2 linked regions of the Macaca fascicularis genome follow. The protein of the gene in region 2 interacts with the protein of the main gene of each other region in a biochemical or structural test. Links are inferred from orthologs where the notes say so. Each region holds a gene or a part of one and is shown on either strand. Other genes may lie near its edges.

The links. The genes of interacting proteins can lie anywhere in the genome.
Region 1: the proteins of RNF11 (region 2) and ZFYVE9 form a complex in vitro, tested with the Homo sapiens proteins (2 studies listed by BioGRID). The link is inferred for Macaca fascicularis from reciprocal best matches to the Homo sapiens genes RNF11 and ZFYVE9.

The regions. Positions count from the first base shown.
Region 1 is NC_088375.1:182,495,868-182,502,604, forward strand, and holds part of ZFYVE9 (zinc finger FYVE domain-containing protein 9), read right to left. Parts: intron 5,959-6,737; exon of another isoform or gene 5,844-5,958; intron 2,595-5,843; coding exon 487-2,594; intron 1-486. UniProt on the Homo sapiens protein: Early endosomal protein that functions to recruit SMAD2/SMAD3 to intracellular membranes and to the TGF-beta receptor.
Region 2 is NC_088375.1:183,467,332-183,473,275, reverse strand, and holds part of RNF11 (RING finger protein 11), read left to right. Parts: intron 1-3,186; coding exon 3,187-3,356; intron 3,357-4,294; coding exon 4,295-4,466; 3' UTR 4,467-5,944. UniProt on the Homo sapiens protein: Essential component of a ubiquitin-editing protein complex, comprising also TNFAIP3, ITCH and TAX1BP1, that ensures the transient nature of inflammatory signaling pathways. Promotes the association of TNFAIP3 to RIPK1 after TNF stimulation.

The sequences.
Region 1 (6,737 bases), about 970 kb from region 2:
TGTTTCGTATAATGGCAAAAATCTCACAGAAAAAAGTGGAATGGATTCTAAGTGTAATATTTTTCAAGAATTAAACGTAATTTTTATTTTTATTTTTTGTATTTAAATGCATTTTTCAATAAATAATGAAATAAAAGTTAATGACAAATATTTCCTAAACTGAAAGAATAACTTCCTTATTTCAAACTATTACATTAACCAAGTAGCTATCAATACAGAAACCACAAAGTTTACACTTCCTCAATTCTCATCTCTTCATAAAAACTGATTCAGCGTAAATCATGGCAACAAAAAAAAAGTGTATATACTATCTAAGAATCAGTGAGGTCATTTTTTATACAGAAATTTACTAGAACTGGGTTTTCAAAAGTGCTATTTATGTCAACTCAACCAGACATATATTCACCTTACATTGCCTTTATTACTATCTAATTCAGCATTACAAAATGTGCATGCCAGATTTCTGAGCTTATGCATGCAACTTACCTTCCCACATGCTCTGCAGTGGTGCCTCCTTTTGGTGAATGTAAACCTGGCTTCACATTTCATGCAATTTGGAGCCTGAGAATCCGGTACCCACACTGGAGCCACCTCACCCAGAGTGGTGAATGGCTTTCTGGCAGAAATTCCAAACTGACCAGCTCTGAGATCATTATCTGGGCTATCTGGAGCTAACGCAAGGCATGGTCTACTGGAGATCTCAGCCTCATAACTTTCTAAATGTTCCCCATTTGTATCAACATTAGAGATGTTTCCCAAAGATGCACCGCATACATTGGTTGCTGAGTTTTCCCCTAATTTTGCTTTCCCAAGAATATCATTTTTATTTTTAGTATTATTTCCACTGTTTGCAGGAAGGTCATTTTGTAAATGGTCTGATAATGGCTTTGGAATTTGAAGTTTAAGATTAGAAGGTTGCTTGGGTCTTGCACCACCAAAAGGAACACTGATAGATGGCAGGCTTGCTACTACCTTGGGGGAAGACTGCCCAAGCACTGATGGAACTTGACTACAGAAATTACGTAAATAATTTTTCTTCATTAGGTCACCAGTGCTATTTAAAAGTAGTCCGCTCCCTTCTGTGGCCTCATTTCCTCTCTGTTCATAAATATTTGAGTAGCATTCTGACTTGCTTTCCTCTATTTCTTTTTCTTCTGTTACTGAATCTTCTTTGGAGGGTAAAGTCTTTGGAACAAAAGAAACACCTGGGCCCTGCATTCCATAGGAATCACAACCATTATATAGAGAATTTGCTGCTGGTGTATCTATAACAGTGGAGAAATCACATTCTTCACTTTCACTGATGCAAGTTCCTTTTAAATCTAGACCTGCATCTGCCAATCCAACACACTGTCCTCCACTATCACCATTAGTGTCCTCAGGCTGACTAATCTGTAGAAACTTTTCCTTTTCTTCGTTTACTTGGCTATCATTCATCTCATTTAGTTTAGTCAACTTCCAATTAGTCATGTCCTGAGATTCAGAGAAATGCCCTGTCATATTAAGGAATTCTGTAGTGCCAAGAATTTCTTCATGTTCATAACCTTCATTTTCATCAGCCCTAACTTCACTAGGCACAATGCAATCTGAAAACCGTTCACAGTCATTATTCCTTCCAGACCCATTAGGCACGTCTGGTTTGAGAAGCAAAGGTAAACCAGACCGGAGGGATTCTTCAGTTGTGCTCTCCTCTGCTGGCTCTTTCTTCGTCAAAATCCCCTCACTCATGTGAGAAAAGGAATTTGGACTCCCTAGATCTGTCCTAGGAGAGCTGATTTTGCCAGTGAGGTCCTCATCTGGTATATAGTTCTCTTGCTTTCTAATAGCAGGACCTCCATCTGTTCCATGGGATGAGATTACTGAATCAACCGTTAAATTTGTAATCGCAGATATGGAGGGGTCTCTACCTATACTTCCATCATCCTTTAATTGTGAAGGGGAACAGACACTGGCTAGACTATCAGATGAAGTAGTACACAGATGGTTAACAGAATTCCCCTCTATTTTCGGTCTATTCAACGGATCCAATTGTTTCTCTGAGTTCATATCTTTTTCAGTGGACTCATTTATACTAAAACTAAATTGATCAGTTTGTCTGTTTTCATTATCCAGTGAACAGCTAAAAGCATCCATAAGGGATTGACTATTATAATTATTACAATCCTGTAAATCGTTTTGTAATGTCCTTTTGTCACAGTTATGCATGACGGCTACAACAAGAACATTCTTCTCATCTGGCAGACAAGTCAGGTTTCCACATTTCTTCTCTCCCACTTCAACAGCACTGCATTGATCATCACGACTATAGTTTCTCTTAATTAACTGATCTTCTGCAACAGCATTTTCATCAATCCACATTGTGGCAATCTCTGGATTTAGATTACAGTCTTGTCCATTAGCACAATGATCCTCTTCCTCTGTGGTCAGGGGAGCTGAATGAGCCAGGGAGAAGACTTTCAGTTGTGGTTGTGACTCATTAGAAACTGCAGATTCATTCACACTGGCCAAAGTAGGGTTAAATGACAGCCGGTGAGAAGAGGGATCTAGAATCTTATTCCACTTTGTATCCAATAAAGTAGAAGAAACTGTTTCATCTGGAAAAAAAAATAAGTAATTACAATAAGTTTGCTTGTAACACTAGAAAAGCTTATGACTAAGTTAATCAACATTTCTAACTATCCTTTGAAAATTAAATATTCCAAGGATATTAGATTTCTAATTCGGGGCTAAAAATAAGAAAACATATTTCAGACAATTCTCTGCAATTATATGTCACCAAATGGTAATATCTCAGACTATTCCAAACAACAAGAGAATTCTACCTCAATCTAATAACATAATTAAACTGACCCACAGGTGAACGGGACCCAGAAGAGGGGAAAGCACCCTTGGATTGAGCAAAGCCAGGACAGGTGCTAATCTAATGGATTAGATGGAAAAAATATTAGAACAGTGGCTAGGATAAGTAATTAAGTAGGAGGGAAAATGAAATTTTCTGTAGAGACTGAATGTTCTACAATCTATATCATAATTGGGATGTGGGTTTGAGTGATATACCCATTTGTCAAAACTGGACAGTTAAGATCTATGCATTCTAATATATATAAAGTTTACCTTTTAAAAAGCTGTAAAAAAATAAGAGTGAAGCAGGAAGTGAGAAGGTGATAAAGGTATAAATGAAACAAAATGGCAGCATATGAAATGCTGTGAAAGCTGGATGATGGGTACACTGGGGTTTATTACACTTTTTACTTAAAAATATTTTAAATTTGCCCAACACATGTTAAAAGAACGTTTGCCACGGTATGTGAAATTCTGCTTGTAACCATGTCACAAGCAGATATTGTATTTGTCACAATACAAAATACTGTATTGTATTTGTCACAATACAAAATATTAATCAGGTTCATATTTATATTATTATCTAAGGACACTGGGCAAAAAGTGTTCATTTATCATATGAAATCAACCTTCTTATAGTCTACCAGTAAGCATAATTTCATATAATGTTTCTGTTTAGTTTTTAACAGATCATAACTACAATGGCTAAGTTATTCTCTCAAGTTACAGGGCTATTGCATATGTCTAAGTAAACCAGAGAAATAAGGAACAATGCATTCAGTGCTTTTCCTGCTTTCTTCCTCCAGTATCTCTGATAATCGTGGCCCTGAAATTATGCAGATATATTTGTAACCTCAATCCTCATCTGTAACATTAATCTTCAATGTTTCCATAGCACCTTAATCAAAACTTTATTAAGGCATTTACTACACTGAAATGCAATAGTTTATTTACCCTTCTCTTTCAACTACTGAATGATTTCTGAAGGCAGAAATCATTTCTGTCAATATAAGTCCTCACTTTGCATAGTGCCTGATAGGTAGTAGATATACAATAAATATGTAAGTGAATATCTACCATAGTAAAATCATCAGGATTGAGGAACATGAAGATTAAACGATAGCTCTTGCCTCTAAGAAGGATACAATCTCATTGGGAGAATAAGAGATACATACAAACATCTAATTAGCAGTATGGAGTAGCATAGGTACAGTAAGTCCTCACTTAACATTGTTGATAGGTTCTTGGAAACTGCAATTATAAGCAAAACAACTCACTGTATAAAGAAGCCAATTTTACTATAAGCTAATTGATATAAATAACAGTTAAGGTTCTCCAGCATACAGTACATCAATTTGCTTAAAGTCACAGTTTCCAGGAACTTATCAAAGACATCAAGTGAGGACTCAGTGTATCTGAAAACTATTATGTAGGAGTAGAAAATAAATTCAGAGGAGAAAGATATTTTCCAGGATGAGGCAAGTGAGCTTGAATTCATGGAGGCAGGAAGAACTGGTCTACGCTTCAAAGACAGTTTTATGTAAGTTTGGAAAAGAAAGCATTAATAAATAGAGGAATAAGGAAAAGCATATCCCCAAATACAAGAATTTAAGGAAGCAATAAGTAAATCAGTTTGGGTTGAGAAAAGAATTAGTGTAAAGAAGTAGTTGTTGTTGTTTAAAAGGGCATAAAACTCAGATTGTGTGAAGAATGGGCTTAGTATCCTCTGAAATGTCAAATCCTGAATTTACCAAATTTGAACCAGTACAGATTTTACAGACATTTGAAGTTTAGTAACACAGGCTTCCTTAAAAGAAAAGAAAAGGAAAAAAAAGCAAATAAGTCATATTTCCAATATGGTTCCTGGAAACAAAAAAATAGTTACAGCTTCTTACAAGAATATTTAGCAATGTTCAAACAGAAATGATCGGGTATTAAAATTTTCATTATTCAACTGCCTCCTACCTGGGCATAATGTTAACTGCCTAGTGTCATCACAGTCTGTGGTATATTTTTTCATTTAAATAAGAAAATAAATTAACACAAAATGAAAAATCATTTTATTTAAAGTATATTCTCTAAGATACCACAAGGCTTGAAGTGGTAGTTTTTAATGCAACTGGTAGTGAGATTCAAAAAAATAGTTCAAACAAATGAACCACAAAGTTACAACGAAGAAGCTGGTTTCAGAAATCCTTCTCCTTCTAAAGGAGTTATTATTTTGTAAGCAATTGCTCTATTTTCTAACTAAAATATTTTTACTGATTCAACAAAAATGTATTGAAATACAACTATACACAAAGCACCCTAATAGAATCTACAGAAGTCACAAAGAGACAAATGTAATGAACCAAGAGTTTGATTAGAGTCAGTGGTATTCTAGCACAGTATTCACATGATTAGGTGTAATACACATCTAGGTACTTATGACTTAAAGAACTGTGATACACAGAGGGCTAAATCTAATAAAAGATTAAGAAAATACTTATACAAACAGTTGAAACTCAGAAAATAATATACTTTCCAGCTTGGTAAGTACAAAGCCCACCTGGATGACATAAAACCCCAAATGATTAGATTTCACATTTACATGAATCAGGAATGAGTCTAGGAATACAGGTTAGTGTTAGGTCATCAATGGTAAAATATGAAAAGAGCAGGCCATTCTGGTAGCCTTCCTCTCTCTCTTCCCTCCTTACTGTCATGATCCCATATTCAATTTAAGACTGGCTCTATTAAAGATCTAAAGCAACAAAATCAAAACTAATCTGTCTTCCCATCTGCTATCAACGAATAGCCTGAATCACTGAATATAGCAAAGGTTTGTAAACCAATATGAAAATCATGGGCTACATTATTTTTTGAGACAGGGTCTCACTCTGTCATCTGGGCCGGAATACAGTGGCATGATCACAGCTCACTGCGGCCTCTATCTCTAGGGCTCAAGTGATTCTCCCTCCTTTGCCTCCCGAATAGCTGGGACCACAGGTGCACCACCACACCTGGCTAATTTTCTTTGTATTTTCTGTAGAGATGGAGTTTCATCATGTTGCCTGGACTGGAATCATGGACTTTGGATGGAAATATATCACTTTGTAAACTTGTTAATGCCATTTCCTGTTAGAAATAGAGAACACAGGGGAAATACAGTAAGGAGGAAGAAATTTAATTATAGCTTACCCATTCAAGTTAAACCAAGAGGGAAATTAGAAGTGAATCTCTTGGCCAGGCATGATGGCTCATGCCTATAGGAGGCTGAGGAGGGAGGACTGCTTGACACCAGGAGTTTAAGACCAGCCTGGCCAACATGGCAAAACCCCTTCTCTACTAAAAATACAAAAATTAGCCAGGCATGGTGGTGGGTGCCTGGAATCCCAGCTACTCTGGAGGCTGAGGCATGGGAATCACTTGAGCCAGGGAGGCAGAGGTTCCAGTGAGCACTGCACTCCAGCTTGGGAGACAGAGCAAGACTTTCTCAAAAAACAAACCAACCAACCAACCAACCAACAAACAAAAGAAGTGAATCTTAAGTGGACATTTCTACTGATGCTTGAGAATATATAATTAACCATTTAGGCAGTTGTGATATAAATAGTTTTAAATGTATCTTTACTGGGCAATCAATATGGAACGAGCTATTTTTCTTAGTTTAGGAAATGCAAGCGCATTTCTTGACAATACATTCACTGTATAGGGTAGGTAAAGCTCAGGCTCTAGTGTCACACTGCCTGGATTCTAATCCTGCCACTTGCTCACAAGACAACTTTGAGAAACTTGCTTAACCTCTCTTTGCCTCTACTCTCATCTATAAAATGGCAATAAGAAGGTCTGGGGATTGTAAGTATCTGGCATTTAGTGCTAAAAAATGTTATTCCTTCCCCTGTATATTATTAAAT
Region 2 (5,944 bases):
CTTTGATTTATGTTTTTCAGTTATGTAATTATGTTGAGTCCCAACTGTGTGCCAGATACCGTGCTGAGTAGGTAGTAAACATTGGTAAGCAAAACAGACATAGCCCCTGCCCTTATCAAACTACCCAGATAGCCCAGGCACAGTGGCTCTCACCTGTAATCTCAGCACTTTGGGAGGCCAAGGCTGGAAGATCGCTTGAGGCCAGGAGTTTGAGACCAGCCTGGTCAGCGAGACACTGTTTCTACCAAAACAAAAAAATTGCTGGGCATGGTGATGCCCACCTGTAATCCCACCTACTGGGGAGGCTGCAGTGGGAGGATTACTTCAGCCTAGAAGTTGGAGGCTGCAGTGAGTTGTGTTTGTATACCTTTTATCATTAGATCCATATTTAGGCCCTGAAACAGGCTAATCAAAATATTTAGGGGTTTTTTTTGTTTGTTTTTTGTTTTTTTCATTTGTTTTCAGCTGGGAACGAAACACAGTAGCTTTGCAAATATAAAGTGGAAGCACAACCTAGCACTGGCATTGGAGGTCCTCAAAACAGTCCCCAGGTTTGGTGATTCAACAGGAGGACTCATAGGACTTAGTATATAATCTTATTCACAGCTATGATTTGTTACGGCAAAGAATCAAAGCAAAATCAGCTAAGGGGAAAGGTGCTTTGGTCCAAAGGGAACTAAGCGCAAGCTTCCCAGAGTTATCTCCTAGTGGAATCACACAGGACGTGCTTAATTCCTTCAACATATATGAAAGGTTTTCTGCCAGAGAAGCTCATTTGCGGACTCAGTGCCCCAGGTACTGATTAGGCACCCACTGCCTGACATACGACAAAATTCCAGATTCTCAGAGGGAAAGCGGGTGTTGAACATAAACCATATAGTATTTGTTTATATAGAGAATCAGCAGGGAATGGTGGGAACCACCCCCAAATCCACATCTTTTTGTTGTTGTTGAGATGGAGTCTCACTCTGTCACCCAGGCTGCAGTGCAGTGGCAAGATCTCGGCTCACTGCAACCTCTGCCTCCTGGGTTCAAGCAATTTTCTTGCCTCAGCCTCCTAAGTAGCTGGGATTACGGGCATGCACCACCACACCCAGCTAATTTTAGTATTTTTAGTAGAGATGGGGTTTCACCTTGTTGGCCAGGCTGGTCTCGAACTCCTGACCTCAGGTGATCGCCTTCCTCGGCCTTCCAAAGTTCTGGGATTACAAGCGTGAGCCACTGCACCTGGCCATCACATCTTTTAAAATTGTTTTTATACCCCTGTCTAATCTTCTACTCACTCAGTGTCTGTTAGCCAACAATTGAATCAAGATTCCATTTTGCTACCTAGAAAATCAGAGGCTCTCTAGTTACAAAAACAATTGATAACTCAGATATCAAGCCATTTTTAAACAAGTATCATGGGAATTAAAATTTAAAATTAGGCATGTGTGGTAAGAAGGGTGAGGCCACATTCATCTTTAAAATATCAGGAGGTCTTAGTCATTTCCTTTCTTCTATGGTTTTCTGAAAATTTGCATGTAAACTGAAATTAGATTGTTGAATCATTTTAAATATCTAAAAGATACATAGAGGGTTCCTTTGTTTTAACAAAAAAATACCAAAGGAGAAAATACACTCATAACATGAATTAAAATATAGTTTTTATTTTCTTCTTTAATGTTTATTAATGTTTCATCATAAAGTAGAACTTTCCTTTTCTGTTCTGCTTTCTGTATTCTCTACACATATGTGAAGAGACTGAGACACAAGACTGAAGAAATCTAGCCTCTGAAAAACCCATAGTTGGCGTTTATTTGCTCTAAAACAATTTAGTTATTTTTGTTTGTTAGATTCAAGGATTTAAGAGACCCTTTATATCATCCAAAGTCTTAAACCAGTTTGTTCCCAGTTTGCATGTGGATGACAGTTCATCAAAACTGGTCAACTAGGACTGAGACTAAGATTCAGGAAGTTAGTCTAGACTGGAAATAGTAATTCAAGGGTCGAAGAACTCAGAGCTGGCAGAGATCACAACAGAGGCTAAGAGTTTGTAGTATTCAAAGAGAAGCCAGAAAGTTAGGACCAAAGCCAAGGACAGTAGCACTTAGCTTAAAGTCTGCAAAGCGGAGAATCATGATGAGTAGAATCATGACGATGGGGAGATGTTAGATAGAATAATTTACAAATATTGGCATTTACAAAGCTCTTAGTTACCTCATGACTGTATCAGCTCTCTGAAGTGGGTGCTGTTATCTGCTTTATTCAAATACATTATTCAAATACATTAAGGGACTTGGTCCAAGCAATCACAGTAAGTAGCTGAGCGGAGACTGAAATCTCATAATTTAATTCTTCAGACTGAAAATCTCATCTTCTGAGATAGTAGTGTTTTTCAGACTGTTGATTCTGAGGATTCTGCAAAGGTAACCAAGGTGAGGGCTTGCGGATGGGGAGCCTCATCCCTCCTAGGCCACACTCCATCCCAGCTTCATTCCATCAGAGTTGCTCAGTTTTAAATATTATTATTATAGGCCAGGCACCATGGCTTACCCCTATGGTCCCACTACTCAGGAGGCTGAGGTTGGAGGATTGCTTGAGCCCGAGAGGTTGAGTTTATAGTAAGTTGTGTTTGTGCCACTGCATTTAAGCCTGGGCAACAGAGGGAGACCCTGTCTCAAATAAAAGGTGGGGGTTATACATATGACTCCTTTGAATGAATTGTGTAAAAAATCCATTGGATTAGGAGCAGTAGAATTCTAATTTCAGTATTGTCAATTATGTGACTGTAGGCAAGCTTGGTCCTATGAAATGGGAAAGTGAGTCTTAGATGACTTTCAGATTTATTTTTGCCATAGTCCAATCCATTAAAAAATTTTTTTCAAATTATTTTTAGAGATAGGGTCTTGCTATGTTGTCCAGGCTAGTCTCTTATCACATGGAAATAGTTCATTTAACATTGCATGCCAGCTCTTCAGTGATGTTTGTGTTTATATCCTTTAGGCAGAATGAGAATGTTTTGTTGTATGTTTTGTTCCAATAGCTGAAGTTGAGGCAGGGTGAAACACACAGTCAATACAGCCACACACTAGCCCAGCTTCCTGCCCTCCCAGGGCTCCCTTTCCCTTCTATCTCTGACTAAAAAATAAGCCCTCAAAAGGTTTTGAAAAAATAATCTTTTTCCTCCATATTTTAATATTTTAGGAACAAGTTCCAGTTCCAGTCTACCACCCAACACCTAGCCAGACTCGGCTAGCAACTCAGCTGACTGAAGAGGAACAAATTAGGATAGCTCAAAGAATAGGCCTTATACAACATCTGCCTAAAGGAGTTTATGACCCTGGAAGAGATGGATCAGAAAAAAAGATCCGGGAGTAAGTTTTAATTAATTTGTACATTTCAAAATTTTATTTTCAGGTTGCTTTTGAAAATTTTGCCTTTTCTCCTGCACTTTAGAAAGTCAGACATTTAATATGTTGAAACACTTTGCTTAATGCAAGAGAATGTTTAATTTTTTTTCATAGCTCTATTACTGGCTACTAGCAAGAGAATGTTATATAGTAATTACAAATTTTCACAGGCTGGGCACAGTGCCTCACACCTGTAATCCCAGCATGTTTGGAGGCTGAGGTGGGCAGATCACTTGAGACCAGGAGTTCAAGACCAACCTGGCCAACATGGTGAAACCTCATCTCTAATAAAAATACGAAAATTTGCCAGGCATGGTGGCACATGCCTGTAATCCCAGCTACTCGGGAGGCTGAGGTGGGAGAATCACTTGAAACTCTGTCTCAAAAAATAAAATTAAATTAAATTAATAAATAAAGAGAAAGTTAGTGAAGAGAGCTTTAACTTTCAGCAACCCAGTAAGTAGGCTGAAGTTAGTGTTTCTGTTTTACAGTTATTAAAATGAAAATTGTCTTAGTCCAGGATTACACTAAATAGTGCAAAAAAACAAAGTTGATCTAACTGATGCTTTTCTACCTAAAATAATCCCATTCTCCTTAAGGTATCTGCTATAGTATGTAGCTGTTTACAAGCACAGCAGTAAACTTGATCCATATGTAATCCATTTCTCTTTGCTCTGTTGATTGCTCCTAAGTCCTGCAAATTCTCGGGGGATTTAAATAAGAAATTGTGTATAGATCAACATTAGGAAAAAATTCAGTTTGCATGCTTTGGTGATAAGATGACAGGCAAAGCATTCTGATGTGTTACTCAGATTAACACTGTCTTTAATGGGATTTAAACAGTTTTCTGAATAGGACACTTCCGAAAATGCCTTCTGATTTCTCTCCATTGCTCCCAACAGGTGTGTGATCTGTATGATGGACTTTGTTTATGGGGACCCAATTCGATTTCTGCCGTGCATGCACATCTATCACCTGGACTGTATAGATGACTGGTTGATGAGATCCTTCACGTGCCCCTCCTGCATGGAGCCAGTTGATGCAGCACTGCTTTCATCCTATGAGACTAATTGAGCCAGGGTCTCTCATCTGACTTCAAGTGAACCACCATTTTGGTGGTTTTGATCTTTTGTCACTGAGCCCAAAGAGCCAGGGATTAGGAATTAAGATCATGCACAAAAGTTTCCTTAAAATTCCTGGATGGCTGCAGATGTTGGGGGAAAAGTACGTGATATTTTAGAAACTTAGTGGGAAAAGTAGGATGGTATTTTTATGTAAAGCCTTGACCCAATGTTTAAAAATATAATTGTATTTAGATCTTGTTATTGCTCCAGTACATAGGAATTGTGTAAAGTGTTACAGCAGCTGTATTTGTTTAAATTGTGTGTATTGAAGATTAGGAAAAAGATAGTAGTTATTTTTCCTAAATGAAATAACTTTCTTCTCTTCCCCTTCCCCACCCAAATTCTTTTCTGAAGTTGCTGACATTTGGGTCAAGGTTTTATTAAAAGCTACATTTTATAACACTGGCACACACAAAAAAGTAGTTTTAAGCTTGTTTGCACAGTTCTTTTTTTCCATTGGAAATGGAATTCATTGCCTTAGGTCTTTTTAAATAGTGTATTATTATCGTTGGGGCTGGCTCTATGCTTGAAAACCAGTTTATTTATAACCTGTTATAAGTGCTATATTCTGTTTGCAGTTAGGAAATGCAGAATTCAAAGTGATCTCCTAGCTTGTAAGCAAACTGAGATGCACTATCCCTTTTCTATAAAAAATAAGTTAATGTGTCAAGAAACCAACTCTATTAAAGTGGGGTTTAATATTGCCCTTTCCTATGTGTTTTATCTAATTATTTTGGTTGTTAATATGGTGATAATGGAAAGTCAAGTTAAATTTTAAATATTAAGAATTCTGATTTATTGAGATTGAATTATGCCACCACGTTTATGTAAAAATGAAGGTGGCACCTTGGTGAGACCTAATGAGAAATAATTACTCAGTTGTAACAATTTTGATTTATTTTCTTTCTTCTGACCTCCTTCCCTCTTGTCTTGAACCATAGCAAAAGGATACTGCATCTCTCATTACTGTAGTGCTGAGGTTATTGAAGTTATATAAAACACATCTCAGTCTCTGTTTCTTGGAAAGGTATCTATTACATCCTGCTAGCTGACTGACAAAACTAAGCAGGGAGAATAAAGATAATTGTATTTTATGTTTTGCACACAAACACAGAATTTGTATAACCATATGACTTCATAGTTGTGATCTCAAAAAAGAAGGAATTTCTCCTTTGTTTCTTGCAGTTAATGTAAGAATACTTTAAATCTCTAAGCTTCTGAAGTGTTAGAGGTAGAGATGGTCTAGTAAAGATGTAGTAGTAATGTTTTATCCATTTAGCATGTGTTTATTTTTTCATATGTACTCAAAGGTGACTTATTGGTTCACCTCAGTGATATTACATACAGCTAAAAAAAATCATTCATTAGCAAAAGGAAAAGTGGTCTCAACCTAACATCAGAAGTGTTTCTTATTATTATTTTATATTG